Xenopus tropicalis: one gene and its partners. The protein of the gene in region 5 binds, or shares a complex with, the protein of the main gene of each other region. Links are inferred from orthologs where the notes say so. Each region holds a gene or a part of one and is shown on either strand. Other genes may lie near its edges.

Region 1 (6,689 bases), on a different chromosome or scaffold from region 5:
GATTTGGCGAAAAAGACTCGAGAGTCTTTTCCGGCGATTTAGGGAAATCGCGCCGCCGCGTGTGCCATCCCGCCGGCGACTTACATGTTTGCCGGCGGGATGGCGGGTCATGGCAACTCGGGGAGATTAGTCGCCCGCGAACAGGGAGTTTTGTCGCGGGCGACTAATCTCCCCCGTGTGCCAGAGCCCTTAGCATGACAACAACCCATAGCATACATCTAAATCAACAAAGCAATGGCTTCAAAGGACGATCAATGTTCTGGAATGACCAACAAGCCAGAGTCCAGACCTTAATCTGATTAAACGTCTGCAGCATGAAGATACCCTCTTAATTTGACAGATCTGGAAAACTTTTGCAAGAAGGTGTGGGTAAAAACTGCAAAGTCCAGATGTGCCAAACTGACGCTCTTACCTAAAAAGACTGAGTGCTGTAATAAAATCAAAAAGGTGCTTTAATTGCACTAATGCAACCATGGTTTTAAAGGATTTCTTTTTTTTCCAATAAACAGATTCTGATTTGTTTGTATAGATAATTTTGCAATAAAGGTGAAATACATTCTGCCATTTTGCAGGCTGTAGACTTTTTATTTTCAGTGTACAATTAAAATCAAAACAATATTTTATAACCGATAATCCCAAACAATATATTTGTACTATGGATATCAAGTTTGTTGATCAGGCTGGTTTGGAAATGTAATCAGCCAATCCCATCATGTCAGTCAGTGTATGGTACAGCAGCAGATGAGGAAAAGAAGGTCCTCCTTCTGACCCAAACAAGCAGAACAATAGAAAGATGGCCCCTCATATGGTATACATCCGTTTGCCCCCACAGGTTAGCTGGTCAAATACCATACATTGTCAAGCTTAACTCTTTATTTAACTTTATTATGCTCAGCCCTTACATTACTATGGCAAAACAGTTGTTGATAATCCCTGACAGCAGCTGTCCCAAATACTATGGGGTCAAAAGAGACAACCAACAAAAACCTGTTTTTGTAAAAAAAAAAAAGTAATTCTAAACATTTTTCAATTATTCACTATTGACTATTGGTAAATGTAACTGAAAAAAAGTATTTGATTATCATTTTCTGTTCTTTGCACTTTCTTCTGATTTTGACTTTTGAAACAATGTAACAGAAATCACTTCTAATCCAGGTCTTTTAAACAGCTGCCTTTGATACATAGTTTCAGGAGTCACAGTTCGAAGTAGTGGATATATGGAGCCATGCACATCCTGCTTTGAATTGCAATTACATTTGCAAATAAACCTAAAAACACTGAAAAGTTTCAATTAATGTATATTAGAAAGTTTTTTTCCCATTAGTCAATATATGAATTTGCCAACCCCGGCATCCCTTAAAATGATACCAACTGCTGCATTCATAATCACATTCCCTGAAACTAAATACAACAGAATGCTGTCAATCTGACTCAGCAGCAGTTCCAACTTCTATCTATGACAGTGTAGGCATTCCCTAGTGAATAAAAATCTAAATCAAAATAATTATATTAAATGCAAATAAGACTTTAATATAAAAGATACAGGATATTCCAGGTCTGGGAAAACCAATGAGACCCAATTCTGGTTCCCCCAGCATAACTATAAACAGAAGTCTTTCATAATCATAGGCAGTCAGAAATATAATGAGCAAATGTAAAGATATTCAAAATAATTTTTTTATCACAGCCCATAGGAAGATACATTACAACAAATGAACATGGGGCAATAACAAGCAGCTTGTGACCCACAATTTGCAGATCTTCCAATTATAACACACAGCTGTCATTTAGGGAAAGTCCTACAGAAACTATTTCTGATGGTATCTCTCAGCTAAACATGTTGCTGGACTATGCTTTCAAGCTCTGCCAAAATAAAAGCCAAGAGGTATTCTCTGTGTACTAACGAAAGGAAAAGTTTTCTTAGCTAGCCAGTTATTATTTAAGGGGCAAAACGGTTTTGGCATAATGAAAGAAAGTAGAACTCTAAGCAATCTTTGACATGCATGCTGCTACATTGTTTCAGGAGTCACAGCCAGCAGTGCAGAGAATATAAGCAGCAGGGCAGCTACAACTTTCAGCCAGCAATTACATTTAGAAATAGCTTAAAAATCACTGAGTGTTTTAAATCAATGTATACTGTAAAGCTGCTGGGAATTACAATTTCATTATACATTTTAGGAGAAGATTCCATTTAATTCATCCATATGAACATGAAGAAAAAGTGAAATTATTGTTGGTGTAATGGCATAGTGTTACATTTATACTAAGACCAGGACTCCTAGGACACTGCTTTTCACACAATGATGGGAGACCCCCCCCCCCCTTCATTCAGGGTACATGACAGCGAGACTACCTGTCAGCGAGTAACAGCAATGTGGGCATTTACGCTCCAACAGACAGGCGCAGGGCCCTAAGCACTCACCATGAGCCAACCAGAAAGAGGCAGAATATAATAAACACCCGTTTCGTCATCTTTCCCGGACGTATTTTCTCATCCTCGCTGGCATTTCCCGTGTACTTTAATGAGCACTAGTCGTACAAGCCACCATTGAAAATGTCCCCGTTGGTGTATGGCGCCGGGGAGAGCCGTGCCACTGTTTCCCCTACTTCCCCTTCGTAAAAGCACTGCCCACACCACGCTACAATCCTCCAACGCGGCCGATCCCCTGCGAATGCCTCCAACTGCACAGCCAGCTTAGGCGGAAGGAGACGCGTCACTCCGGCCGAGGTTAGCGAATCAGACGTAGCCTTTACAACCCTCCCCCTTCAAATGCATTGGTTTGGTCCAGAAAGGATGCCTCAGCTCTTTTGAACAACAAGGCCTCTGTAATGGACTGGGGGCGGAGACTCGTGTTAAGCGAATTGGAATCAAGGCGCCCCTGGCAACTATTGTGGCCTTTCCTGTTTCTAGTGAAAGGGTTCTGACAGCCAATAGCATTTCAAGATACGACCGCTCTTGATTGGCTGCTCAGCCAAAGGTTGCAAGGGGCTGGAGAAACGCGGAAGCCTGGCTTTAGGAAATCAGGTACCCACTTACTGGCAGCTTTCTTTTGAGTTGGTAGCTACCCACAGGGTCTCTCCATTGTTTTTCCCTACATTGTAACCTGCCTACTGTCACTGCGGTTTGCTATACATTTCATTTTGTTTGTTGCGACAATATTAGCCTTGACATATGGGGTGGGGGGAATATGGCTAGTGCTTCTCTGCGTAGGTGTCCGCACAGAACGGCAGAAAGTAGGTTCCATAAGTCAAAGGCTTGCTACTGTAGTGTGCGGAAAAAAGTACAAAATTGTAGTTTGCAACAGCCCTGCACTTTGTAAGTGAGCTCTTGAATATGTAACTGCTGCCTCCTTTATATACTGTCTCTTAAGTTGCCAGTTGGTAGTCTTGCTCCTTCTCTCTCTCTCTCATCTATATATATATATATATATATATATATATATATATTACAGTCCACAAAATTTTCAGCACACCAAACCCCTAATATAAATCACCTGGGTGCTACCTCCATGTGTCTAATTATCCAAAAATTGGGTGCACACCAGGATATTTTTTAAAGATTAAAACGTTACTTTTATTTAAACATGCTGTTAAAACAGGCCAACGTTTCGGTCTCCTCCTAAGACCATTATCATTATCAAGGGTCTTGGAGCCGGGTTGGAGCTGCAGAGTGCCATTGAGCCCTATGGGAGACTTTCCTTGGGCCAGGTTGGAGCTGCAGAGTGCCATTGAGCCCTATGGGAGACTTTCCTTGGGCCAGGTTGGAGCTGCAGAGTGCCATTGAGCCCTATGGGAGACTTCCCTTGGGCCGGGTTGGAGCTGCAGAGTGCCATTGAGTCCTATGGGAGGCTTCCAAAATCATGCTAAGTCTGAAAGTTTTGCCCGCAGTTTACGAGCGCTCAATACGAAAAAGTCGCGACAAGATACGAGCAAATCGTAACGGCTACGAAAAAGTCGCGACAATTCGTGCAAGTCGTAATGGTTACGAAAAAGTCGCGATAATTTACGAAAAGTCGTAACGGCGACGAAAAAATCGCAAAATGTTCGTTTTCCAATCTGAATTTTTCCCCTTCGGATTCATGGGTTAGTAAATCAGCCCCTATGTTTGAGGCAAGGCTAAAATTTAGCAGTTGCCTTTCATTAGATGGAATTATCCAAGTTACTGTGTAATAGGCAGGTTAATACATTCCTTAGGTCTGTTGTTTTAATGAAGAAACCGTTAAGAAAAAAATAAGAAAAGGAAACCAGTTTCATTTTAGCACTTCCTGTTCCACTAAGAAGCTCCTGTTCAAACCCTGCACCTTAGGGAAGGGAGGGGATTGTATATTTGTTTGAAGGTAAATAAGGATCTCTGAACAAATTGCCCTGTCTATAAAGGAGGGGCTTTTCAAACAGTGCTTTATAATGGAAAAAAATTAGGAGTATATGGCAAAATACATTTTAAAGCAAAACTATACCTCCAGAATGAATACTTAACCAACAGATAGTTTATATTATGTTAATAATATGGGCAGAACTCTGCCCAATAATTGGCTGATGTGGCCTAGCATGTATGTGTGCCTTGGCTTGTTTGTGTGCACCGTTAATACTATGATCCAAGGAGGCGGCCATTACTTCTTAAAATGGTAATTTTCTATTTAGCAGTACCCAATAGCACATATTGCTAAAAAAAAGTATATTTTTATGAAAATGGTTTATTTAGATGAAGCAGGGTTTTACATATGAGTTGTTTTATGCAATATATTTTTATAGAGACCTACATTGTTTGTGGGTATAGTTTTCCTTTAAGCATAAGTTGTTTTTTTTTTTTGTTTTTTTTATTGTGCTCATTTTTTGCCAATGTGTTTTAGACATATATTTTCCTTTTTAAATCTGTGTTTGTCCCTTGAATCTTTTACACTTGAAAAAGACCCTCTGTTTGGTCAGAACAACCCATGTTACTTAATGGATTTGCAGTGTAGTTCCGGCAATGTATATGCATGCTTCCTCCGCAGAAGAATTGTACTGTATATGTCAATGTCAAATGTGTGAACCAACACCTGGTTTCTTCCTACAAAAATTTGATAAGCTGCAGTCCAGAGCAAGATAGTTATTTATTCCCATTAACAAAGGTGCCCGGAATAGTGCCCAGACTAATTATACCACATGGCAAACCTAAAGAAGTCACTTACAATAAATTGTTTACTTTTGAGCTTCATCTGACTGATTTTTTTTTTTTTTTTTTACATTATAAAGAGTCTGAAGTTTTCATAAAGATTAAATTGTATTCTACTTTTCCATTTCGTTATAAAATAAATGTGCCTACTAACATTTAGCAAAATGTCTCTTGATTACTGTTTAGCCTGCTTTGTTTATTAAGTACATAGAACATAACTACCTTTGAAAAAAGCTCAGTGCAACGTGGCAGTGCTGTTATCAGGTGGAGGATTAAAAACACAGGTCATTTTGATCTGCAAATAGAATATTTCCAGGTCAGTAAATCTCTGCCACTACCCCCTGCCTGTCTCACACCAGAGTAAACACAATTCAGAAGAGAAACATATTCCATGAAGCTGTTAAAGCATATGCATTTTGCTCATGGTATTATAAAGGTAGCGTAGGACATTGCTTCTTTTATTTTTACCATATCTTTTGTGTGATCAGAAGAAAGAAATTCCACATTTTCTGTGTTGATTTTCTCTAATATTAGGAGTTAGTTTGACTTTTGTCATTGTGAGATAATGGGATTTCAAATTGGGTAATTTAAATTGCTGACTGTTGCTTTGGGTGACCACACTTGTGCAGATTTGCCCATTGTTATTCAGTGAGCCGGAATTGCACATAGCGCATATTCCACTTCACATAAAAATGTTACATCTTATTATACCAAGTTCTTCTACATGTTAATTCATGAAACTAGCTTTTGTACAAGAAATAGAACAGAGGCTTATAATCTGTTTGCTTGCAGCAGAATTATTTTAGGGCACCCTAAACCTCTTGAGCCCCACAGCTTACAAATGCTGTAGTCAAAAGCACTTCCTATTGGCCCACACTTTGTTGCCTTTATTATTGTCTGAAGCACAATTGCAGTTGCAGCAAAATGTGGCATCACTGCAGTGTGAAGGCTTCTATAAGTACACTCCAGTTTTAAGATGGCCATACATGATCAAATTTTAGTCTTCTTCCAGTGAACATTCGGATATGCATTGTATGTTTAAATGCAACGATCTAAAACTAAAATTCAGACTAAAATTGTAGGATAAAGCCATTGGACAATGTTTTGTATGTGGGAAAGTTGGCTAATCGTATGAAAGTAACTTTCTGGGAATGCATTTTAGGTCCCCCAAGGACACAGATGCACAGATTTTATCTTCATCCAACTTAAATTTTCTAACCTGTCCGATCGACTAAATTACTGATTGCTATGGTATGAAAATTATCAGGACACTAATTCGTAGCCCACACACGGTTTGAAAACCATACGAAAATGCAATGTATGGCTAGCTTAAGATGGGAGCATGTCAGCCTTTGTTTATTTGGAGTGAAAATAATGTACATTTGGCCAATGTAGTAAACAGGATCTATGTAGCTATCAGGTAGTTTATCCATAGATGAATATTGAATCAAGTTCATGACTAAAGTATCCATCTGACTGAGTTGGAGCAGTTATTTGTACCACTAGACTTTGATCGGTGCATTGGTAGATCTGA
Region 2 (6,145 bases), on a different chromosome or scaffold from region 5:
GATTTTTTACAGTGAGAGCTGTGAAGTTGTGGAATTCCCTCCCCGAATCAGTCGTACTGGCTGATACATTATATAGCTTTAAGAAGGGGCTGGATGGATTCTTAGCAAGTGAGGGAATACACGGTTATGGGAGATAGCTCTTAGTACAAGTTGATCCAGGGACTGGTCCGATTGCCATCTTGGAGTCAGGAAGGAATTTTTTCCCCTCTGAGGCAAATTAGAGAAGTTTCAGATGGGGTTTTTTGCCTTCCTCTGGATCAACTTGTAGTTAGGTAGGTTAGGTATAGGCATTATGGTTGAACTTGATGGACGTATGTCTTTTTTCAACCCAACTTACTATGTTACTATGTTACTATGTTACCTTACTAAAAGAAGCTGCCCCTTTTGAATGTAAAACAGAGTTGGCATTACCTGCATAAGCAGTCGAAGGGGCTTCCCAGTCTGTTGTTCCAGCATACGGAATTTTACACCAGCTTAAAAAAAAAAAACAGATAATGAATGAGCCAAGCATGTGTTTGAAATTTGTGGGGAAGATGCATACATGGGACAATTTCAGCTGGCAATATTGGTCCTTTAGACTGATTTGGCAGCTTATCTGCCAGTGTATGGGCACCAATGACGGGCCTCCTTGACCGACATAGGTAGGTATATCGGGAGAAGATCTGCTTGCTTGACAACCTCACCAAGTGAGCAGATTTTACAGTGTATGGCCACCTTTACAATACAATACCTTTACAATACAGATCAGGCCTGACCATTAGGAAACAGACTATTGGTGAACATGTGTTTTAAAGTTTTATGCTGCTAATAACTGCCTGCTGGCTCAGCAGCTCATAATGAGAGGTGAGTTCTTTTAACAGGCAGCCAGCATCTCCAGTGAAGCACCACTCTTCATATTCCTCTATGTTCCCTCTTCAGTTTTAGCAATGTGCAGCCAGCCCGAGGGAAGCCCCATACACATTTCCTGGCTTTTTTCAGTTACATGCTACAATCTGAGCAGCATAAACAGCAGGGTTTGCATCAAAGAGTTATTATACAAAAGCTGCTCACCTGCCAACCTGTACGACCTGCAGAGGCGCAAGACCATAGCATAAAGTGGGAGAGTGTTCAGCAGATCTACAATCAAATGGATGACACCCTGAACCAGGACCACAAGCAGACGTAGCTGTCCAAGACAAGTAAAATAAAAAGATGAAAGAGGTCCTACCAGATTACTTGACATACCAAGATGTTCCATTCCAATAATAATTTATAGTATGATTTCCCCTTTGTTCCAGCACTGTATTCCATTTATTCTTAGGGTTAGTGCCACACAGGGCTGATTCAGCCTCCTACCTTGCCTGCACCCGGAAGTATTGTCCAAGTGCAAGCAGACACTGTGGATATTGGCTGTGAAATGCAAACTCTTGCGTTTTTGGCTGGTATTCACCACATCTGTCTGCACTCAGGTGAACACAATGCTTCCGGGTGCAGGCATGGAGTCTGGTGCCAGCATAGGGGCTGATTCTCAGCCTGGATTTTTCTGCAGGCTGTGACACTAGCCTAAAAGTGATTCTGTGACACTAGCCTAAAAGTGATTCTGTCATGATTTTCACTCTACCATTTAAAATTTTATTCTTGAACCAACAAATGTATTTATTTTAGCTGTAATATTGGTGTGTAGGTGCCATCTCAGTGCATTGTGCCTGAGTCTGAGCTTTCAGAAGAAGCCTGCGCTACACATTAGGGCTCTGGCACACGGGGAGATGTAAGTCGAAATTGCCTCGCGAGGCAACTTCGGCGATTTGCTGAAATCGCCTGCGCAGTGTGTTCCATCCCACCTGCGACTTGCATTTTCGCTGGTGGGATGGTAGTTCGGGCAGATTAGTCGCCCGTGACAAGGAAGATTTGTCGCGGGCGACTAATCTCCCCGTGTGCCAGAGCCCTTAGAACTGCTTTCAGCTAACCTATTGTTTCTCCTACTCCCATGTAACTGGAGGAGTCCCAAGCTGGACTTGGATTTCTTACTATTGAGTGCTATTCTGATACCTACTGGGAGCTGCTATCTTGCTCCCTTCCCATTGTTCTGCTGATCGCCTACTGGGGGGGATATCACTCCAACCTGCAGTTCAGCAGTAAAGTGTGGCTGAAGCAGAGCACAGGTCACAAGGCAGTGGCACCCTGGGAAATGAAGAATATGGCTAGCCCCATGTGACATTTCAAAATTAAATATAAAAAAGTTTGTGTTTTTGAAAAACAGATTACAATGCAGGATTTTGCTAGAGAAGCTCTATTAACTGATGCGTTTTGAAAAAAACATGTTTTCCCATGACAGTATTTCTTTAAGATTCAATGTAATTGGCTCTGTTCTTCAGCGAATATTATATCACATAAAGTTTGATGCCTGGGCTTCCAAAAAAACAAAGGGGCAAATTTAGCAAACATCAAATTTCTTTGATGGTTACTCAAGTTAATATTTGCCATTTGGCTCTGGGCACACACCACTGGCAAGTGTATCTATGAGTCTATGTCCATGTAATCAGTCCTAAAACCACAAATTAGATGTCTATTATTTATTTAGCTATTGCATCAATGTGAAATGTTATTTTTAGGTTCAATATGTTTAGGTTTTAGATAAACACGTACCAGAGTAAATACCAGGTAATACAGGGCTGTGGTTGGCAGGAGAAACAGCAGGATTGTAAAGAGCAAGGTCCCAAGAAAAAGCTGCAATAGAAAAGAGCAGAGATAAGCCTGAGGTATAATCCTGTGCTGCACTATGTATGCTTTCCCTAGGCAGCTGCAACCAGGCCGAGGTACCTGATCCAAATCATAAGAGCAAGAGTCCACTCGCTGGCGAAGAACATTCCACTTCTTGCCCCGGAAGAGACGCCAGAGAGAAGAGAGTCCGTGCATCTTGAAGCAATACAGGCTAGTGTAAAAGAAGGGACAGTTTATCACTTGTACTCCCAGAATTTAAGAGACAGGGGATAGCACACTATAATGATACATAAGTAAAGTAGATGTTCTATGTAGCATTTCTACTGCAATAATCATAGTAATCATAATAACCATAAGGAAAAACATGGTGAGGCTCTTTTATAAACACTGCACGAATTTGCAGCTGGGCAGAAACCCATGACAAGCAAATATTTGCTTTTACTGTTCAGCCAGCAATCCAGCCACTGATTGGTTGCTATGGGTCACTGCCTGCGTGCAAATCTATCCATTGCGATACTTCATGCAAACTGGTTATGGAACGGAACCTATGGAGAAACTATTACAAAGGGTTCCAAATCTTACAATACACAATTCAGTAGGTATTAAAAGTAGTTTAGATGCCAGTTACAGATACTTCCAGCTCGTGTAGTTTACCGGGTGTCCAAACCTGGCTGCAAAATTCTCAGGCAAAAAGGTTTTATCTGCATTGTGTCCCTAAATATTATGGGATACTGCTTTTTCTAAAGCTCCTAAAGCAACCAATAGGTATACATAACCGTAGACACCTGTCACTTAAACATAATGTTGTCTTAAAGGGATGGTTCACCTTTTGAATTAACTTTTAGTATGATGTATAGCTTGATATTCTGAGCCAAGTTGCAATTGGTCTTTACTTTTTATTTTGTGTGTGTGTTTTTCTTTTTTTTTTAATTATTTAGCTTTTGGTTGAGCAGTTTGGAATTTTAGCAGCTACCTGGTTGCTAGTGTTCAAACTACCCTAGCAACCTGAAACTGGAATATAAATAGGAGAGTGGCTAAACAGAAGTAATAAAAAGTAGCAATAACAACAAAATTGGAGTCTCACAGACCAATAGTTTTTTGGCTACTGGGTCAGTGACCTCTATTTAAAAGCTGGAAAGAAGTAAAAAATAAAGACAATAGTTGTATAGAATCAGTCATTCTATAACATATTAAGTTAACTTAAAGGTGAACTACCTCTTTACATATCCCAGAGAGGGTTGGCATTACAAGGGATCGCAATGCTGTACAGACAAGTCTAGCTAAAACTCAGTTGCTCTTGCAAAGGCCCACCTTCCCAAGCTACACCATCTACAGTCCAAAATTGCAACTCTGCTCCTCTGTACTTGATTGTTAAGGGCAGATTGGAGCAGAAGGGTTAGAGTTTGCCATGTGTTTGTAGTTGAAGTCAGGACCAGGCAATCAGTGAACATTGCCAAAGAGCCTGTGACAGGAAGACAAAAATGGTATGGGGGACGGTGGGTAGTGGGCTTTGGGAATGATGCCTCTGCAGGGACCCTAAGTTGTATTCATTTCTTTCATTCTCCTTTAGCTACAATATTTACAATGGCAGTTAAGTTCTTCTAGACCAGTGATCCCCAACCAGTGGCTCATAAGCAACATTTTGCTCCCAGAGGCCCCAAAGTAGGTGCCCATTTTTAAATTTCTGGCTTGGAGGCAAGTTTTGGAAGCACAGAGACATAGTTTTACTCCAAGCAGAGCCTCCTGCAGGCCAGCAGTCCCCATAGGGCTACCAAATAGCCAATGACAGCCCTTATTTGGCATCCCCACAGAACTTTTTTTAATGCTTGTGTGGCTCCCCAACACTTTATACATCTGCGTGTGGCTCATAAGTAAAAAAGGTTGGGGATCCCTGGTCTAGACCCTAGATAAGTAGTATTTTATGAATATTAGTTAAGGCAAATTCAATACAAAATATTGCCTTAAAAGGCAATATTTGATCACTCACCGAGCTCCATAAACATAGAAACAATATATATGAAATGTAAGGAGGGCAATGATATCCGAGAGGATGGACAGAGCAACTGACAAGCCCAGACAGGCTGACAAGCCAATGTACCACAGGATGACTTCGATAAATGGGGACATCAGGCGAATGTAACCTGCGCAGGAATACAATTAGGAAAATATGTAGTATTAATAAAGTAAATGGGCTCAAGTCCAAACACATGCCTTTGCATTACTATCAGATTTGCTTTTAAGTTTTTATAAACCAAACAAAAGGGATAAAGGAAAGAATTAAAAATGAGAGAAGGAAATGGGTATAGCTTACTGATCCAGAGGTGGATATGGTACAAAAAGAAGCGTCCCAAGACTTCATCCAGAGCTCGGTTCATTTTTAATCCAGCCGGAGCACCCATAAGCCACTGCAGCAGCCCCTGCAGCTCCAAAGCAACACGCTAATGGGAAAAGAGAGACAGAAGGAAATTGGGATGCATGCTAACAATAAAAAACCTGATTAGTACTTTTTATTATTTTAAAGAGGGATGCGTTTTAACCATATGTCTTATGGGGCATTTGGTCACTGCTGCCTGTGCAAATGCCCCTCATCCCTTCTCACAGTAATTTGTATGAATTACTGTGATTTACACTTAAAATTAAATTTAGTCCGCCTACAACATGGTAAAAGTTCATTTAAAGGCAAACTTCCCCTTCAAAATGGGAGGTTATGTTTCTTAGCTGCTTACAAAAACATGAACCAAGGGTTTTGTGGGTTGAAATTCAGGTTCCCTGTGTATGACTTACATCAGCAACGGGCATGAGTGTGTCGGCCAGCTGACTGATTCGGTTCTCTCTGTACAGCCAGGACATCAGTAAAATCCCCAGGGCCATGTCTAATAGAATGGAAACGACAGTGTTGGACTTCCTGAAAAATAACAAGCAAATGGTACATTTATGCACTTTGGAGAGACATCTTGAGGAAGCAAGCAGACTAGCCAAGTGGCTTAAAGAGAGCACTAGGCAGGAGTCACGGGTGCTTTCTAGCTGCCTTAAAAGCAATGTGACTGCTGTTGGCGGTAAACATATTCTGGCCTAGAAGTAAATGCATTACCAAGTAGGTGAGCTTGCACATACATGCTGTTAAGTGTATGGTGGGCAAAATAATCCCTAATAAATAGAGAACACCTATATGCTGAAATCCAGCTGCAAAACAGTTCTTCTCTTTCTGCATCATTTGAAATCCTGGCAGGGGAGGAGGGACTAAAATACTGATGTTACAAATTGTAACAATTCTGCAGCTGATAGAGAGCATAAAGGAACTACATAACCCACAATGCATTGTACTGTGATGTACTTTTCCTTATTCACATCATGTGTGCAGGGAATCGTGGGATATGGAGGATGCAGGCTGAAGGCAGGCTGAGGACAGTCGGCAAAGTCTCAAAATAGTCAGCCAGATCAGCAG
Region 3 (5,311 bases), on a different chromosome or scaffold from region 5:
AGAGGAGATCTGTATTGTTTGTTGGACTGGGCAGAATGAGACCAGTACCTCTGCCAAGGGATAAAGCCTATCGGATAAGCTCACCATTGGGTACATGAACTGCTTATACCCTGCAGACATTGGCACCAGACTTGGCCACTCTTTACCAAATTGCCCCCTTTTGAATAGTTTATTGCCCAAACCTGTCTCTTTCCCAGTTGGTATCTAAATGAGGACTTTAGGTCAACTACATGACCAGAATGTTGGCCCAAGGGCTGAACTACCCCATTTTGGGCCCATTATTGTCTACTACTTGGGAAGCCTGGTGTTTTGTTTAGAATCTGCCGGTTATCACTGCTGAAACAGTGTAGCAGAAGCCAACAGACCCGGAGGAGAACAGACTTCTGCTACTTTGTTTCAGGAGTCAAGACGAGAGAACAGAATGGATAAACTGCTTTCAGAGATTTCCATCTAAACAAAACTTATATCGCACGTTAGTGAATGTATATTGTTTTATGCAACACTAGTTTTTGGGTGACGTTCATAGAGTTTTCTGAGCCTCGGTGCCACCTGGCCAGCCCATGACCTTACAGTGACCAGAGCCGCACTCCCGGGGCCTTGGCCCAGTTACTCATTAACCCCAATGAACTTTCCCTGACTCCCTCTATCAGCAGTCGCACCTCACATGGAATCTCATTGTGTTGATACAGTTCCACCCGAGTGAGCATCAGGCACAACCAAATTATATTCAAGGGGCTGAAGTTTATTGTTTTTTTAATGGTGATTATTTTCTCCTTTCTCTGGGCATTAAACAACGTTTATAACTGTGGGTCTCATTCCTAAAGTCTTCTATTGTGAGCAATGGAAAGTGCCTAATTGGCTATCCCTTTTTTATTCCAGATATCACAATGGTGGAGAATTCCCCGTCCCCGCTACCTGAAAGGGCAATTTATGGCTTCGTTCTGTATTTGGGTTCCCAGTTTGGCTTCAGTGAGTATCAGCACTTGCATATCATTGTGTATTGGAGCAGTTGGTTCTGTGCTAGTGAGACGTACAGGCCGCCATCTTCTGCTGAACAAGCTCCTTCCATACAACATGTTTTATTGTGCCCCTGAAGCTTTGGTCACCACCTGTCTCCGGATCACTCATATGGATCAAAGCTTAAATAAAGAAATATCATGTCCATTCAGTCCTCTCATTGCAAGGGACCGTAGTGGCCAATACTGCTCCCCACATTACTCCTTGCTCCCCTTTTCAGTTTTGGACTGGGCTCCCCAGGGCCACCAGAGAACCTGACAGCCTCTATCTCCTTTTTACTAGTGATGTGTGGGTCGACAAAAAGTTGATCTGCACTGGACAGTAACCCGCCGAGCCTCGGAATTTGTAGCCCTGGCCAACCCACCATCTCTGTCATCACAAAAGGCCCAGGGCACACAGGCACAAATCAATAAATAGCGACATTTGGAAGCGTAAGCGGGCAAAGTAAGGTCAGGTTGGGCTTAAGAAAGTTGTGTGGCTGCCGGCCCAAGCCCACCCAACCTGCAGGTCCCTGACCCGCACATCACTACTTCTTTACTTCTGTCCTCTAACAGGGCCAGCACTTCTCAAACCTTTGGCCTACCCAACTAAACCATTGGGGGGCCCCATAGTCTCTGTTTATTATTGCACAGCACCTAATAGCCACCTCTCAGCTATGCCACAAAACACTGGTCACAATCTAGGATACAGTTACTTTTGGGCATTTGCACCCTACTGCACTTATTTAATTGGTCTTTCTGGTATTTGTGACTGAGCTGCTGTTTTGTACTTTCAGTTCTGTACCTAACGTGGGGCTTCATCCCAGAGTCTTGGTTACACTCATTAGGACTGACGTACTGGCCCCAAAAGTAAGTACTGATGTAAGCACTATACACATAGCTGTACTGTATGCACTGTGTTCCCTTTCTCTCTGGGCAAAGCAGGATGGCTGCAGGTTTACATGGTATAGTGTCAGTCTGAAAAGTCTTTGTAGCCCCAGATACACAGAAGGGGATCATTTACTAACATCGGGCATCAGGGTCGGACTGGGGGGTGCAGGGCCCACCGGGGCTGCCGACCCAGGGGCACTGGAGGTGCCCTGCCAGCCGCATCCCCTGCATCCCCTAGGGGCCCCCACTACACCCCCTAACCACCCACAGTGGCTCTGCCCAACGTCCTCCCCTAAACGCGCCTAAGTTTAACGCATCAGGGGAGGAACACCGTAGGCCAGGGGAGCGCTGGCAAGGGTCGGGTCTGGGCTGCTCCTGGTGTCCCGGCGGCCCAGTCCAACCCTGTCAGGTATATTAGCCCCATTGCACCCAAAGCCTTCAGTAAAACAATTAGCTTTAATCAGACTCCTGCAGACAGAAGAATGAATGCACATCTGTGATCAGTTACTCTGCACAAATTAGAGCATATTTGTTAGTAAATGTGGCACAGTATGTCAGTAGGATAACAGGATACATATTGTGTGCAGCCACAAAGTCCTACCTACAGTATAGTAATTGCAGACTGATAGTAATGCCTTTGTTGTCTGGCATTTCAGTTTCTTTTACAAATTGTGTTTATAGATATTGGGCTGTGGCAGTGCCCGTCTACCTCCTCGTTGTGTTCGGCATCGCCTATATCTTTCTGTTTGGTATAAACATGATGAGCACTGCTCCCCTAGACTCCATACACACTGTAACAGGTAAGTGGGACTCTGGCTACAGTATATAGAATCTAGTGTATATGTGTGTGTGTGTGTATATATATATATATATATATATATATATATATATACAGTGGTGTGAAAAACTATTTGCCCCCTTCCTGATTTCTTATTCTTTTGCATGTTTGTCACACAAAATGTTTCTGATCATCAAACACATTTAACTATTAGTCAAAGATAACACAAGTAAACACAAAATGCAGTTTTTAAATGAGGGTTTTTATTATTTAGGGAGAAAAAAAATCCAAACCTACATGGCCCTGTGTGAAAAAGTAATTGCCCCCTGAACCTAATAACTGGTTGGGCCACCCTTAGCAGCAATAACTGCAATCAAGCGTTTGCGATAACTTGCAACAAGTATTTTACAGCGCTCTGGAGGAATTTTGGCCCACTCATCTTTGCAGAATTGTTGTAATTCAGCTTTATTTGAGGGTTTTCTAGCATGAACCGCCTTTTTAAGGTCATGCCACAACATCTCAATAGGATTCAGGTCAGGACTTTGACTAGGCCACTCCAAAGTCTTCATTTTGTTTTTCTTCAGCCATTCAGAGGTGGATTTGCTGGTGTGTTTTGGGTCATTGTCCTGCTGCAGCACCCAAGATCGCTTCAGCTTGAGTTGACGAACAGATGGCCAGACATTCTCCTTCAGGATTTTTTGGTAGACAGTAGAATTCATGGTTCCATCTATCACAGCACGCCTTCCAGGTCCTGAAGCAGCAAAACAACCCCAGACCATCACACTACCACCACCATATTTTACTGTTGGTATGATGTTCTTTTTCTGAAATGCTGTGTTACTTTTACGCCAGATGTAACGGGACACGCACCTTCCAAAAAGTTCAACTTTTGTCTCGTCGGTCCACAAGGTATTTTCCCAAAAGTCTTGGCAATCATTGAGATGTTTTTTAGCAAATTGAGACGAGCCATAATGTTCTTTTTGCTTAAAAGTGGTTTGCGCCTTGGAAATCTGCCATGCAGGCCGTTTTTGCCCAGTCTCTTTCTTATGGTGGAGTCGTGAACACTGACCTTAATTGAGGCAAGTGAGGCCTGCAGTTCTTTAGATGTTGTCCTGGGGTCTTTTGTGGCCTCTCGGATGAGTTGTCTCTGCGCTCTTGGGGTAATTTTGGTCGGCCGGCCACTCCTGGGAAGGTTCACCACTGTTCCATGTTTTTGCCATTTGTGGATAATGGCTCTCACTGTGGTTCGCTGGAGTCCCAAAGCTTTAGAAATGGTTTTATAACCTTTACCAGACTGACAGATCTCAATTACTTTTGTTCTCATTTGTTCCTGAATTTCTTTGGATCTTGGCATGATGTCTAGCTTTTGAGGTGCTTTTGGTCTACTTCTCTGTGTCAGGTAGCTCCTATTTAAGTGATTTCTTGATTGAAACAGGTGTGGCAGTAATCAGGCCTGGGGGTGACTACAGAAATTGATATTGAAATTGAAAATTGAAATTGATAAACCACAGTTAAGTTATTTTTTAACAAGGGGGGCAATCACTTTTTCACACAGGGCCATGTAGATTTGGAGTTTTTTTTCTCCCTTAATAACGTGAACCTTCATTTAAAAACTGCATTTTGTGTTCAATTATGTTATCTTTGACTAATAGTTAACGGTTTTTGATGAGCAGAAACATTTTGTGTGACAAACATGCAAAAGAATAAGAAATCAGGAAGGGGGCAAATAGTTTTTCACACCACTGTATATATATATATATATATATATTCTGTAAATAACCTCCCTTGGTGCTACATTGTCAGCCCAAGGATTGCAATGCATGCTGGGTATACAGACTGAAAGCAGCCACTAGATTGGCCAATATCCTAGTGCAGTTTATTGCAGTTATGGGCAACCTCAAGAACTCCCAGTGCCGCTCAGAGCTAATAGATGATCAGCGGTACCTGTTCTTTCAGTGCCACTGAGTGTTGTAATTTGTAAATTTTTACCACAATTTCCAGACTCTTATGCCAAAAATCAGCAAGAGAAGGCGTGCCAAGAGGATGCCATCCCAGCACTGAGGGACATTTCCATCAGCGAGGTTAATAAAATGTTCTTCCTCACTGAGAGATGATGCCGGAAGATCCTTCGGACCCACAAAACCCCATTCTTTATGATAATTCATGTAGCTATATATTTCTGGACTGTGTTTTATTTATTTATTTTTTTACTTGGGCCCCATAAACCAATGGGTGCAAGTGTTTTATTTAGAGGTGCAAATGCGCAGACTTGGAGATGTGGGAACAGCAGATTCTGCAGAGGTCTATGCTCCCAGTCACATTTATACTGTGCTGCCACTTCACTTGCTATATAAAAAAAAAAGCAGTTTACCTTGAAATTCACTTTTATTGGAATTCTAAGACAGTTTGCAATTAGTGATTATTTAATATTTGTCATTTTGAAAACCCATACAAACCATTTTTTGCTCTGCAACACTGAGGCTTGGAATTTCAGCTGCTATCTGGTTGCTAGTGCTCAATGATCTTAGCAACCAATTAGCAGTTTAAAAATCAGTATGATGGAAGATCAATAGGAGAGAGCTAGAAAAGAAAGATAAACATCTAAAAATAAGAGCAGTAAAATTAGGGTTGTTGCCTTTTCTGGAAA
Region 4 (6,933 bases), on a different chromosome or scaffold from region 5:
TTTAATAAAACAGAAATAGTTTAGCCATGATGATCACTTCAGGGTTTAGGAAGTACAGGCAGCAGTATTTATATGTGTCTGCGGTTGTTCAGGGCCCCTGGGGTGATTTCATCCCACCTTCCCACTCCCTGAGCTGGAACTGCAAAAACCTGGGCATATGTACTGCAATGAGCATGCAGAGCATTTTTCCTGCTTCTCTTAGCCACATATTTTTCTGCAGGCTGAGAGAAGCAGATCTGCTCCCATATGCACCAGTAAAACTGCAATGACAGGTATAGCGCTTGCATGCAGGTCGCGTTTTTTGGCCCAACCTCTGCTGCATGCCAGGAGAAGCTATACCTGTCAGTGCAGCAACAGGAGATGCATATTGGAGCCGATCCACTTCTCTCTGCCTGACTGAAAACCGCAGGCAAAGAGAAGCAGAGCAAATGCTTTGTGTGACCATGGCCTAAGCCCATCACAAGAAAGCATTTCAATCAATGTATTGGAAGAATAGTGCCATGTTGTGATAAAATGTGATAACTCACTGCCTGTATCTGTACATTCCCAGCATGCCTCTTTTGAACTAAGCTCTCTCTAGCACAGGCAGCAGTCGATTCAAGGTTCTCTCTGCCAGAGTTTAGAGGCCTGTGGCTATTTGCACAATGCCCCATTCTGGCAAAGTGTAAAAAACAGCCAACTGTGTCTTTTTCCACTTTGCAGCCATTATAAATATCCCCTTTTATCTTTTGGTTTCATGACATTGTCAATAGTCACCTACAATGATTTCCCTTCCACATGTAAAGTAGATAACCACTACTTGATGAAACCTCATGTTCTCCCAGAAGGGCCTGCATGGATGTATATACTGAATGTATAAACTAAGGCATAAAAGGGGTGGTTCACCTTTAGGTTAACTTTTAGTATGTTATAGAACTGGCATTCATTTCTTTATAGTTTCTGAATTATTTGCTTTTCTCCTCAGTCTCTTTTCAGCTTTCAAATGGAAGTCACTGACCCCAGCAGCCAGCACTTCATTACTGTCAATAATAATATAGAAAAGGGACTTGGAATGACGATTTTAAATGACTTTAAAGAAAGCAAGCAGGGTAGGACTGGGCCCCAGATCTCCCTTCCCCAACGTGCTAAAAGTAATTTTAATTTACACGTGCGGCAGCCCCGGTGAGCCCTGCACCCCACACTCCGACAATTATTGCATCAGTAACTAGGATGCATTTTTTGCTTTCAATTTTATTGTTAAGCACATAAGCTGCCAGAGAGCAGCTCCTATTAACTTACAAATGGGGCAGCACCCAGGTAAGTGTACCTTTAGGAATAGAGTCTTTAAAGGAGCTCAAATAGAAAGGAAAGTACAAAAATCAAAACAATTACATTCATTTTATTTCTATTAAATGTTAATATTTCTATGCAAAGCTGTAACCGACCAATCTGAAAACATGTTCTCCATATCTTATCTGAAAGCAGAAGGATGAATGAGATATTTTCTGTTCATTTATGCATTAATTGTGCCTAAAGAGCTTGAGTCCCATCCAAGTCCACAAATGAAAAAACACATAGACAGGCAAAGTGATGGGAAGCAGAAGGCTGTAAAAACACAAGCTTGCTGTACTGGTGCATCCATTTGGGAAATCCTCTTCCACTGAGGCAGAGTATAATAACCCTGTCAAAGACACCAGAGGAATGAGCACAGTCAGCACAGGGAGGGAGAAAAACATGGCTTCTTTATTGTTTGCAGGAACAAATCCAAAAAACTATGTTGTCTGCTCTGTGTCTGGGCTCTCAGGCTTCTGATCTTTATGAATCATGCGGGCATCCTGTGGTATCATATTTGGGATGCCATCAACAATTGGGTAAGCTATACCCAGCTCGTCATTAATTAACTCATTGGTAGATTCTTCATATCTAGGGAAAAAAAATGACATATAAACAATCAGATCTGGATCAATGAATGGGGAATCACAGCCGTTTATATTTAATGTCGGGAAATTTGATCACCAAAATCAGTACATTTCAAACCACAAGCGTCATTCCATAATCAATATTATATATATATATATATATATATATCGAGCCAAGGGTGGCACACCGCTTCAATCCTTGTCCCGGGTGCACGGTAAAAGAGTTTAAATATTGAAAAAAAGACCAGCAACACCGGATCTATTGCAAACAATCGATTATATATTGAAAAATACATGAACAGCCAACGTTACGTTTCGGTCCCCGTCGGGACCTTTCTCAAGACCGAAACGTAACGTTGGCTGTTCATGTATTTTTCAATATATAATTGATTGTTTGCAATAGATCCGGTGTTGCTGGTCTTTTTTTCAATATATATATATATATATATATATATATATATATATATATATATATAATATATATAAAATGCATTTAGGAGTTCTAGTTAAGCTTGAAATAGCAAAGAGACATCTGCTTGCTGTTAATAAACTGAATATTTCCCTATACAGAGTACAGGCTTAGGTGTATGGGACACCCTGTTCCCCTGCTGACCTGACTGACTACTTTGAGACTCAAATAAAATGCAGTAGACTGTCCTCAGCCTGCCTTCTCCAGTTACCACAATTCCCCGCACATATAATAAGGAATAGGGAAAATAACATCACTGGGCAATGCATTGTGGGTAATGTAGTTTCTGAGTGCTGTCTGTAAGATGTGGAGAAGTTGTTACAATTTGTAACATCAGTGTTTTAGTCCCTCTTCTTTAATCCTCTTCCCAGGATTTTAAATAATGCAGAAAGAAGGTTAGAAGGTTTAGCAGAAAGAAACAGTTTACAGTGCTAGGTATATTAGGGGTTTCTGTGTTGGGCTCTTTAACAAATTTTGGTTCATAAACTGTAGTTCCCCTTTCAATAAAAATAAGCAGCGATATTTTCAATATAAGCCCTAACATTTGGCTAATGGTTAATATCAATATAGTCTTTCTAAAGGGTAATTAATTAGAAATTATAAATAGAACAATACGTGGCTATAACTTTAAGTCAGAGAAACCCAAGTCTGATGGGACACTTTGCTCAAACTAGGGGCAGCCCAGCACTGCAGGGGGCAGTATCCTTGTATTGTAGCCCGCACCTCTGGGGGGAAGCAATGCTTAGGATCATAGGTGATCTTAATGACCCCCCCACCCAGCAGCAGTATACTGACTGTATCAGAGCCCTTTAACCCAGTGCCAGGTATTTTACCTCAGCGATTTCCTTGAGAGAGGGCAGACCAGGAATTGCAAGAGGGTAGGATCAAACGTCTTGCTGTCCTTCAGGCTCTGTTCCGGGGATCTGGCAACTAAAGAGCAGTGCAAGGGCCGCAGTGTGACAGCTGGCAGGGCGCCAGTGGGACAGGCAGCGTTTAGTTTCCGCTGGACTAAGGTATTATATGTTCTTCCCCATGCCCTGACAGCCAGCATGTTCCACTTTCTGCACAGAAACTGACTGACACACAACCTTTACTTCCCAGGAACGATTCCACCCCTTCTTCCTGTGCAGCACTATAAACAGCCCCTCACACGACACAAAGCAGTCTCAGTGGTTCCTACCATGTGCATGTAACTATATAAACCCACAGCCTGCAAAACCCTCAAAATATATCTGAAAGAGTTGTGATTAAAGTCTTTCTGTAATGTTAAACTACCTTTACTTGATATTATTGCTTGAATCTGGTTTGCCCTTTGATTCCTGCGATCACAGATATGTAACCCATTCACTGCCAGGCGATTTTTCCTTCTGTATTTGTGTTAAACCAGGTACCAGCCCACATTGCCTGACAGGTGGTAGCAATTTAATTTCTAACAGTGCTCAAAATAAGTTATAGGTAAACAGGAATACAGTAACAGTATTCCTGTTAAAAGCAAAAAGCTTTGTTCACTGTGGAATCCTATGGAATTAAGATGTTGTACTGTGTTAGCCATTAAAAACAATGCAGAAAATCTGATACCTTTTATTGGCTGAGTAAGAAAAATTGCAAGCTGTCCAAGCAGGGTCGGACTGGGCCGCTGGGACACCGGGAAAAGTGGGCCCTGGCGGCCCAGACCCGACCCTTGCCGATGCTCCCCCTGCCCGAGTGCTCCTCCCCTGACGTGTTAAATTTACACGCTCGGGGGAGGATGTCAGGTGGGGGGCCCTGCACGGGCACCTACAAGGCCCCTGGGGCGGGAGCCCCAGTGGGCCCTTCACTCCGCAGTCTGACCCTGTGTTGAAGCACCCAGGCCCCTTCGTCAGGCAAAATACAAATGAAAGCTGGAAAGGCACAGCATATATATAGATCATTGAAAAGGTTCATGGGCAATAAATTGAGAACCCTATAGGACACAGAAACAGGGTCGGGCTGGGGGGTGCAGGGCTCACTGGGGCTTCTGCCTCAGGAACCCCAGCCCCCCCCAACCCCTGCAGAGGCCCCAAACACCCTCCGACCATGCTTCTAAAAGAAACTTACCTGCGGTATGTTGGGGGAGGGTGACGGTGGATCGCGGGAGAGCCCTGGGGGAGGGGATCTGGCCCGCCGGGGACCAACAGGTTTTTTTCCCAGTACCCCAGCAGCCCAGTCTGATACTGCACTGAACAGGTTGCGGGTAGTATAGAATGCTGCAGCACAAAGAATCACAGAGTAGGGAGTAGACAAGGTAGAAAGCTACAGCATGGATAAAACAGGGAGGAAGTCAGGGGGAGTATGGAGCTAGTCGGATGGGGTATGTGACAGGTAGGGAGCTGGGGGGGGGCTTCTGTGGTGGGGAGGGAGTTGAACACACACAGATATCTTAAAATGGACACTAGATAAAGATTGTTCTGTCTGCTGCAATTTCCTGTGCACAGGGACATTTTACATTGCTGTGGCTGGATCTTATCTTCCTTATTTTCCATACAAGTTCAGTTCTTCTTCTGACAAACTTTGGGGGCGATTATTCTGAGACCACACACGGTCCAAAAATTGTTTGAGACTAGGTTTTGTATGATTTTATTGATGTGTGTATGGCCAGTTTGTTCTAAGCCAGCAGTAATTAAAACAACATGGCAGCAGGCTAACCGGCTGCAAGGGGTATTTGATCATTAGGGGAGCTGGTTGTCATGAGTGTGCATAGAGAAGCTGGTGAATTACTGTTAGTGTTGCCACCTTTTCTACAAAAAATACCATTCCTTCTCTTGTTGGTAGCTATCTTGTCTATTAGTACTGTTGGAATCAAATTTCAGTTTTATTGGTCAGGCCTGTAAAATAACTGCTGGGAGGCAACTCTATTCATTATATGTCAGGTAGTGGATAGAAAGTAGGGACGCACCGAATCCAGGATTTGGCCAAGATTATGCTTTTTTCGGCTCCTGGCAGAACTGAATCCGAATCTTAAAAATCACGTGACTTTTTGTCACATAAACACGGAAGTTAGAAATTTAACCCTTCCGTATCCTAATTAGCATATGCTAAAAAAAAAGTGCATTCGGTGCATCCCTAATAGAAAGCCAGCGCGCCCTGGGTGGCTTGACTGTTTTCTGGGTTAGGTGGAGTTTAGGGACCTATTTGGTTAGGACAATCCGATGTGGTTGAATTAACAGAACACTAGGGAGCTGTTTTGGTCCTGCACTAATATTTTTCCTTCAACTCAAGCTATCCCAAGAAAGAATAGTAACGCAGTTATATGCACAGACTAAGGGGAGGATAGGGCCAGCAAGCTACTTGTCAGCAAATTGGGAGATAAGGTCAGAGTCTGTAGCCTGAACAGAATCTGATCTAAAAGGGCAGAAGTCTTTTGAGCACCTCATTGTTAAATGTCCCTCATTAGTAAAAGCCAGTAACTAGCAAGGGATTTTTCAGGAATGACTTTTCTATTTAATTAAGCTACCCCTTAAATAGGGAAACAGTTTCAGGCACAAACATATGGGAGGCTAGGGCTAGCAAGCTTTTGGGGCAGCAAAACGGGAGGTAGGGCTTAAGTCTGTAGCTTGAACCAAATTCCATTTAAAAGGAAATAAGCTTTAAAGTGCACCTATCATCCTCTCATTTTTCCCCTGTAACCTATTTTTGGCACACTTCTGCAGAAATTGGATTACACTCACTTCTGGGAACTGGGTTTTACAGTGCAGTGCCTCCACCTAGTGGTCACTGAGGAGCACACCTCAGGGGGATTCCACTAGAAAAATAAATCACACACAGTTTGCAGAAAAGATAAACTTTATATAGCAATTTAGAAAAATGTAATCACTGTAAAAGGCAAATAATATGACCCTGCTTTGGGAAATGCATGTTTCATTTAACATGCATTTTAACTAAACTTTTGGCACAGTCTCTCCTAGGACACAGTCCCACACTTCTTTCCTGGTGGAAATACCCTTTCCCAGTTCAGTCTCTGGCAAAGTCCCTTCCCCAAGAGTTCTTTAGTTTCCCCTGTAGTGCTACCTGCCCCAAAGTACCACTCCCTTTGGATAGGCAGTTGCTCCACATTGCAGGCACTCGATCAACACCTGCCCTCACACAGGGAACATACAAGGATAACAACAGAAACCCACTGGCAGTTTAACAAGATGCAGAATGCTCTCTCCATTTAGGCTGGAGCTCAAAAACCAGCTGAGCACTCTGTAACCTTTCTGGTTACTGGCAGTGCAATCACCTGTCTGCTGCTCTCTGTTCCTCTGGATCGGGTTCTCTATGGCTGGCACTGCAGCAGGGGCCCTTTAAAAACCTGCCAACCCCACCCTTGGTTTTGGCTCCAAAGCCAGGTACTCTCTGGATCCTCCTTTTCTTCCATAAGTGCACTGGGGCTCCCAGCCAATCGGGTTTTTCTCCAGTCTTCCCGCTAGCTCATTATGCACATGCGCTTGATGTAAGAGTCTTTTCATCGGCGTCGTGATTTTTTCGTATTGAGCAATAGTAAACGGCGGAAAAACCAATCCGTTTTTTTCGCGACGGCGACAAAAAAGTCGTATTGGCGACGAAAAA
Region 5 (4,903 bases):
GACTTTACGCCACATGTCACCGTGCCAGAAATTAGGCACATAAATATTCTTCATTTCTGTTTGTTCATTTCTGACTTATATTTCTTTGTAATATTGTCCTATTGCATTTATATTTGTACTCTCTAATTACAGTGAGGAACATAAGTATTTGAACACCCTGAAATTTTGCAAGTTCTCTCACTTAGAAATCATGGAGGGGTCTGAAATCCACATTGTAGTTGCATTCCCGCTGTGAGAGACGGCATTAAAAAAAACATTCAGGAAATCACATTGTATGATTTTTAAAGAATTTATTTGTATTGCACTTCTGCACATAAGTATTTGAACACCTGGCCATCAGCAAGAATTCTGGCTCTCAAAGACCTGTTACTCTGCCTTTAAGGCTGATGCCACACGTGGCGTTTTTACGCTGCGTATTTTCTAATTCTCTCAGCGGCTGAAAAACGCCTGATATCATCATCCATAGAAATAACTTGAAAAGACTCGAAGCAAACCACACAATGCGGAAATACGCTAGAAAACGCCTTAGCACAGATTTTTCAAGCGTTGGCTGAAATACGCCAGTATTTGCAAAGCAAGCTATTCCTATGTATACACAAAGGCAGCTGCCAGACCTAGCTGAAATACGCAGCGTTTTTTACTATTTTGCACTGTTAGCACCATGGAAACGGGATTTGCTACGTCACCAGTACTAGGCTGAAAAACGCCATAGTCAGAGGCTGTGTGGCTTGTGCGGCGTTTTTAGGCTGAGAAAAAACGCAGTGTAAAAACGCCACGTGTGGCATCAGCCTTAATAGTCCACCTGCACGGAAGGTTCCCGTGCTCAAGTAATCACATGTCCAGGCCCGTCTGAAGTTTGCCAATGACCATCTGGATGATCCAGAGGAGGCATGGGAGAAAGTCATGTGGTCAGATGAGACCAAAGTAGAACTTTTTGGTCTGAACTTCACCCGCCGTGTTTGGAGGAAAAATAAGCATGAGTTGCATCCCAAGAACACCATCCCTACTGTGAAGCATGGGGGTGGTAATATCATGCTTTGGGGGTGCTTTTCTGCAAAGGGGACAGGATGACTGCACTGTATTAAGGAGAGGATGAATGGGGCCATGTATTGTCAGATTTTGAGCAACAACCTCCTTCCCTCGGTCAGAGCATTGAAGATGATATGACCCGAAGCACGCAGCCAGGATAACCAAGGAGTGGCTCTGTAAGAGGCATATCAAGGTTCTGGAGTGGCCTAGCCAGTCTCCAGACCTAAATCCAATAGAAAATCTTTGGAGGGAGCTGAAACTCCATGTTGCTCAGCAACAGCCCCGAAACCTGACAGATCTAGCGGAGATCTGTGTGGAGGAGTGGGCCAAAATCCCTGTTGCAGTGTGTGCAAACCTGGTCAAGAACTACAGGAAACGTTTAACCTCTGTAATTGCAAACAAAGGTTTCTGTACCAAATATTAACACCTGATTCTCAGGTGTTCAAATACTTATGTGCAACAGTGCAATACAAATAAATTCTTTAAAAATCATACAATGTGATTTTCTGATTTTTTTTTTTTAATGCTGTCTCTCACAGTGGGAATGCACCTACAATGTGAATTTCAGACCCCTCCATGATTTCTAAGTGGGAGAACTTGCAAAATCCCAGGGTATTTAAATACTTATGTTCCTCACTGTATATATTTATCATGCATTGTATGTTATATAATTCCCTATTGCAAAATATATATAAGGATGTAAAAAAAATTGCTAGGGGGTGCCAACTTCTGAATCAGCCTAAAAGAGCTAGTAACTGACAAAAGATGTGTGACCTAAATTTATACAAATGTGCAAGTATTTGGGTACTGTAGTATTGTCATCTCTGACTGAATAATATAACAGTTGAATCCCAAACTTGACAAAAAATCTAAAAAGAAAATTTAAAAAGAAAATCACATTTTTATTTGAAAATCTGTATTTCTTTTTTAATTTTCTTTTTTGATATTTTTTTTTTTGTCAAGTTTGGGATACAATTGTTATATTATTTGATTTGCCCTTTAATCCAGGGGCTGTGTCCCAATGACTTTGGCCCTGTTTGACTGGGCATTTGGCATCCTCTTTTTGATAAAACCGTTCTGACTGAACACTTCATTCTGTATCTGTTTTCCTGTACAGAACACACTTGTTTTGTCTGCTGCAATAATTTGCACAATTTGCGGCCTGCTACTCTACCTCCATTTCATGAAGATTGACCAGGAGTCGTTACTGCTTATCGGCAGCCTTGGGATTCAGCTGACCACCTCATTTGCATCAGGCAAAGAAAGCACAGTGTTCATAGAAATGTGCAGAGTGAAAGATGTTGTCATCAATGAAGCATTCTTTATGGTAGGAGACCATTTTGCCCCCCCACCCCCCAAAAAAAGCACATTATGTATTTCTTTAAAGACCAACTCCACCTTAAAAGACCCTTTTTAAAAAAATAACACATTTTTCCTCAAGCTGGTTTGCAGCATGTAATCCTGTCTAATTACAAAATCTTAAAGTGTGTTTTTCCATATTCTGGTATCGGACTGGCTGATTCCCATTATCTGCAAAACTAAAAATATTTTGACGCAATGCTGGTACATACTGGTGGTGCATTTTTATAGGAGTGCATTGGCCTAAAGCAGAAGGTTAGCACTTTTGTACACTGGAGGCTGAATAACAAAGTTGCACCAGCATTTCCTGGTGTTATAAAATTTGGGATTCACTGAATATATACTCAGTACTGCATTCTCAACAAAAGAAAGGTAAATAACTAGATATGAACCCTATTTTCTATAGGTGTGGTATCTATTATACAGAATGGTTTGGACATGATATTTTCTGATTAAAAGAATCGCATTTTCCATAGTGTCACATTTAGGGGCAGTTCAATTACCTTTTAGTGTGATGTTTTGAGACAATTTGTCTTTATTTATTTTGCAGATTTTGAATTGTATATCTTTTTGTTTAGCAGCTCTCCAGTTTTGAATTGCATTTGAAATGTATTGAAAGTTAATGTATTGAAAGTTAACTTAAAGGTTCACTTTTAAACAAGCAATTGGCAACTTGGGTGATGTTAACCAAACTTGTATAAATACATGCCAATGGGTTTTTTATGTTCAAATGTTTTTGGTAATCTTGAGGTAATGCCTCAGATGCTGGATAATACGTCCCATATGTGTTATATGTTAGATGGAGCATACAGTGAAAACTATGAGAAAAACATTTGCTGTTAAAACCTTAATTGCATTACTACAAATTCTTCAGACAACACTGAAACCAGTTTCCTCAGAATTCTTATCACTCTGTTGCTGTGGATAAAGCTAGGAGGAAGGCTTCTAGTGGCAGCATCGCTGTAGGCTGCATCCTGACATACTACTGGGATTCGACATGTCATACCACAGTTAAGGTTCTTTGGCCCTCTAGTTTAGTGTCGGACTGGAGTGTCCAAGGACCACTGGGACCCCAGTCACCTTGGGGCCCCCCACCCCAGTCACACCTCCTCCACCACCCACACCAGGTTGCATTCTTATACTTGTGTTGCAATCTTAGGGGGTAAGGGGGGAGGGCCTTAGGCAGGGATCAGGCCTGGGACGCCGGGGCCAACCGGGTTTTTTCCTGGTGTAAAAACTTTACCCATTGTAAAGTTACATTTAAAACTCCTACTAACTTTAATCTGGTTTCTTTCAGCAAAAGGTTGTCTACTACCTGTGCATACTGCTTAAAGATCCCACTGACCCAAAAGAGATTTCAGAAATTGTGCCTGTGTTTCAGGTAAGAAAATTCATTTGTTTGCCTTTCTCATTTTTCATAGCATTATACTTGACTAACTTTAGTGTGCCCCAATTCTGCTCCTTTGGCTCCTTCATAACAGAAAAAAAGGAAATAGCCAGGGTTACGACTTACCATTGCACCCTTTTGATTTGTTAAAAATTACAAGTGTTTGAATAAATGTAGTAGAACTTCCATTAAAGTTAATGTGTGCCAAGACAACCTCCATTTCTGCACCCCTTGTGAAGGAGGCAAAGAAGGGGAAAAAAACTACCTTTAAAATTAAAGCACATTTTATAGGATTAATAGTCATCTCTTTGGCAGAGGAGGTGGACAAAGATGTTTAGATATCTCAAAAATAAAGTAACTGTTTGGTCTGGCCCAAATACATTTTGTTAATCATTTGAATGTCTCCATTTTTACTGATGCATCCTTTGGTAGGAAGGTTCAGCAGGTGGTCGTTGAAGTTCTATTTCCCAGTCTTGAAATTGCATTATTTTACCCCATAATATGTCTGTGTGCTGCAGGGTGCATGAAAAAATAGAAGCGTATTACTAACCTATATTCTGATTTCTTAGAATCAACAGCAGCACACTCTAATATTTTTCTTTTCTATTTCCTTCAAGAAAAAAAAAATGTATGGTACCATACATTCCTAACTGACTAGTGCAGAAGTGGAGACTCTGGAAACATTGTTTGGTTACTTTATTCTAACAGCATCCTATTTGCAATCTTTTGAAATTTGTGGGTTACCTTACCTGCTGTAGCACCAGTTTGTGTCTACAGACTCAAAAGTGCCTGTGTCAAAACTATCATACATTGTAACTGTTATCTGCTGCATGGCCTCCTGTAGACACTTTGACAACAACCTGATGCCAGAAAGAACATGCTAGCATAGCTAGCAAGAGGAACATAATTATACATATACTTCTTCATATTGTCTTGGGGCAATAGGCAATGTATAAACTGAAAGTTTACTGATCCTTTGAATGGATGACCTGCTTTAAAAATTGTATTAAAATCTATTTGCCTTAAGGAGGCTATACACTGCAGGATCTGCTCTGTTGGAGAAATTTCCAAGAGAGTAGATATGGCCCTGTTTGGCCACCCATATGCTGTGCCAAATTGCGCTGATTG

The links.
Region 1: pigh (region 5) and pigc share a complex: the UniProt entries of both Homo sapiens proteins name them as parts of the glycosylphosphatidylinositol-N-acetylglucosaminyltransferase (GPI-GnT) complex. The link is inferred for Xenopus tropicalis from reciprocal best matches to the Homo sapiens genes PIGH and PIGC.
Region 2: pigh (region 5) and pigq share a complex: the UniProt entries of both Homo sapiens proteins name them as parts of the glycosylphosphatidylinositol-N-acetylglucosaminyltransferase (GPI-GnT) complex. The link is inferred for Xenopus tropicalis from reciprocal best matches to the Homo sapiens genes PIGH and PIGQ.
Region 3: pigh (region 5) and pigp share a complex: the UniProt entries of both Homo sapiens proteins name them as parts of the glycosylphosphatidylinositol-N-acetylglucosaminyltransferase (GPI-GnT) complex. The link is inferred for Xenopus tropicalis from reciprocal best matches to the Homo sapiens genes PIGH and PIGP.
Region 4: pigh (region 5) and pigy share a complex: the UniProt entries of both Homo sapiens proteins name them as parts of the glycosylphosphatidylinositol-N-acetylglucosaminyltransferase (GPI-GnT) complex. The link is inferred for Xenopus tropicalis from reciprocal best matches to the Homo sapiens genes PIGH and PIGY.

Annotation. Positions count from the first base shown.
Region 1 is NC_030680.2:107,288,878-107,295,566, forward strand, and holds the start of pigc (phosphatidylinositol N-acetylglucosaminyltransferase subunit C), read left to right. Parts: upstream 1-2,999; 5' UTR 3,000-3,025; intron 3,026-6,689. Other genes in the region: suco (SUN domain-containing ossification factor), read right to left, coding at 2,423-2,472. UniProt on the Homo sapiens protein: Part of the glycosylphosphatidylinositol-N-acetylglucosaminyltransferase (GPI-GnT) complex that catalyzes the transfer of N-acetylglucosamine from UDP-N-acetylglucosamine to phosphatidylinositol and participates in the first step of GPI biosynthesis.
Region 2 is NC_030685.2:21,238,466-21,244,610, reverse strand, and holds part of pigq (phosphatidylinositol N-acetylglucosaminyltransferase subunit Q), read right to left. Parts: intron 5,606-6,145; coding exon 5,485-5,605; intron 5,139-5,484; coding exon 5,012-5,138; intron 4,842-5,011; coding exon 4,688-4,841; intron 2,912-4,687; coding exon 2,800-2,911; intron 2,707-2,799; coding exon 2,626-2,706; intron 1,166-2,625; coding exon 1,051-1,165; intron 474-1,050; coding exon 412-473; intron 1-411. UniProt on the Homo sapiens protein: Part of the glycosylphosphatidylinositol-N-acetylglucosaminyltransferase (GPI-GnT) complex that catalyzes the transfer of N-acetylglucosamine from UDP-N-acetylglucosamine to phosphatidylinositol and participates in the first step of GPI biosynthesis.
Region 3 is NC_030678.2:12,647,254-12,652,564, forward strand, and holds part of pigp (phosphatidylinositol N-acetylglucosaminyltransferase subunit P), read left to right. Parts: intron 1-737; exon of another isoform or gene 738-759; intron 760-879; 5' UTR 880-887; coding exon 888-969; intron 970-1,792; coding exon 1,793-1,865; intron 1,866-2,567; coding exon 2,568-2,686; intron 2,687-4,665; coding exon 4,666-4,778; 3' UTR 4,779-5,311. UniProt on the Homo sapiens protein: Part of the glycosylphosphatidylinositol-N-acetylglucosaminyltransferase (GPI-GnT) complex that catalyzes the transfer of N-acetylglucosamine from UDP-N-acetylglucosamine to phosphatidylinositol and participates in the first step of GPI biosynthesis.
Region 4 is NC_030677.2:67,792,476-67,799,408, forward strand, and holds pigy (phosphatidylinositol N-acetylglucosaminyltransferase subunit Y precursor), read right to left. Parts: upstream 4,642-6,933; 5' UTR 4,444-4,641; intron 3,462-4,443; exon of another isoform or gene 3,419-3,461; coding exon of another isoform or gene 3,201-3,418; intron 1,903-3,200; coding exon of another isoform or gene 1,752-1,902; 5' UTR 1,716-1,751; coding exon 1,500-1,715; 3' UTR 1,211-1,499; downstream 1-1,210. UniProt on the Homo sapiens protein: Part of the glycosylphosphatidylinositol-N-acetylglucosaminyltransferase (GPI-GnT) complex that catalyzes the transfer of N-acetylglucosamine from UDP-N-acetylglucosamine to phosphatidylinositol and participates in the first step of GPI biosynthesis.
Region 5 is NC_030681.2:52,818,582-52,823,484, forward strand, and holds part of pigh (phosphatidylinositol N-acetylglucosaminyltransferase subunit H), read left to right. Parts: intron 1-2,146; coding exon 2,147-2,356; intron 2,357-3,685; coding exon 3,686-3,769; intron 3,770-4,903. UniProt on the Homo sapiens protein: Part of the glycosylphosphatidylinositol-N-acetylglucosaminyltransferase (GPI-GnT) complex that catalyzes the transfer of N-acetylglucosamine from UDP-N-acetylglucosamine to phosphatidylinositol and participates in the first step of GPI biosynthesis.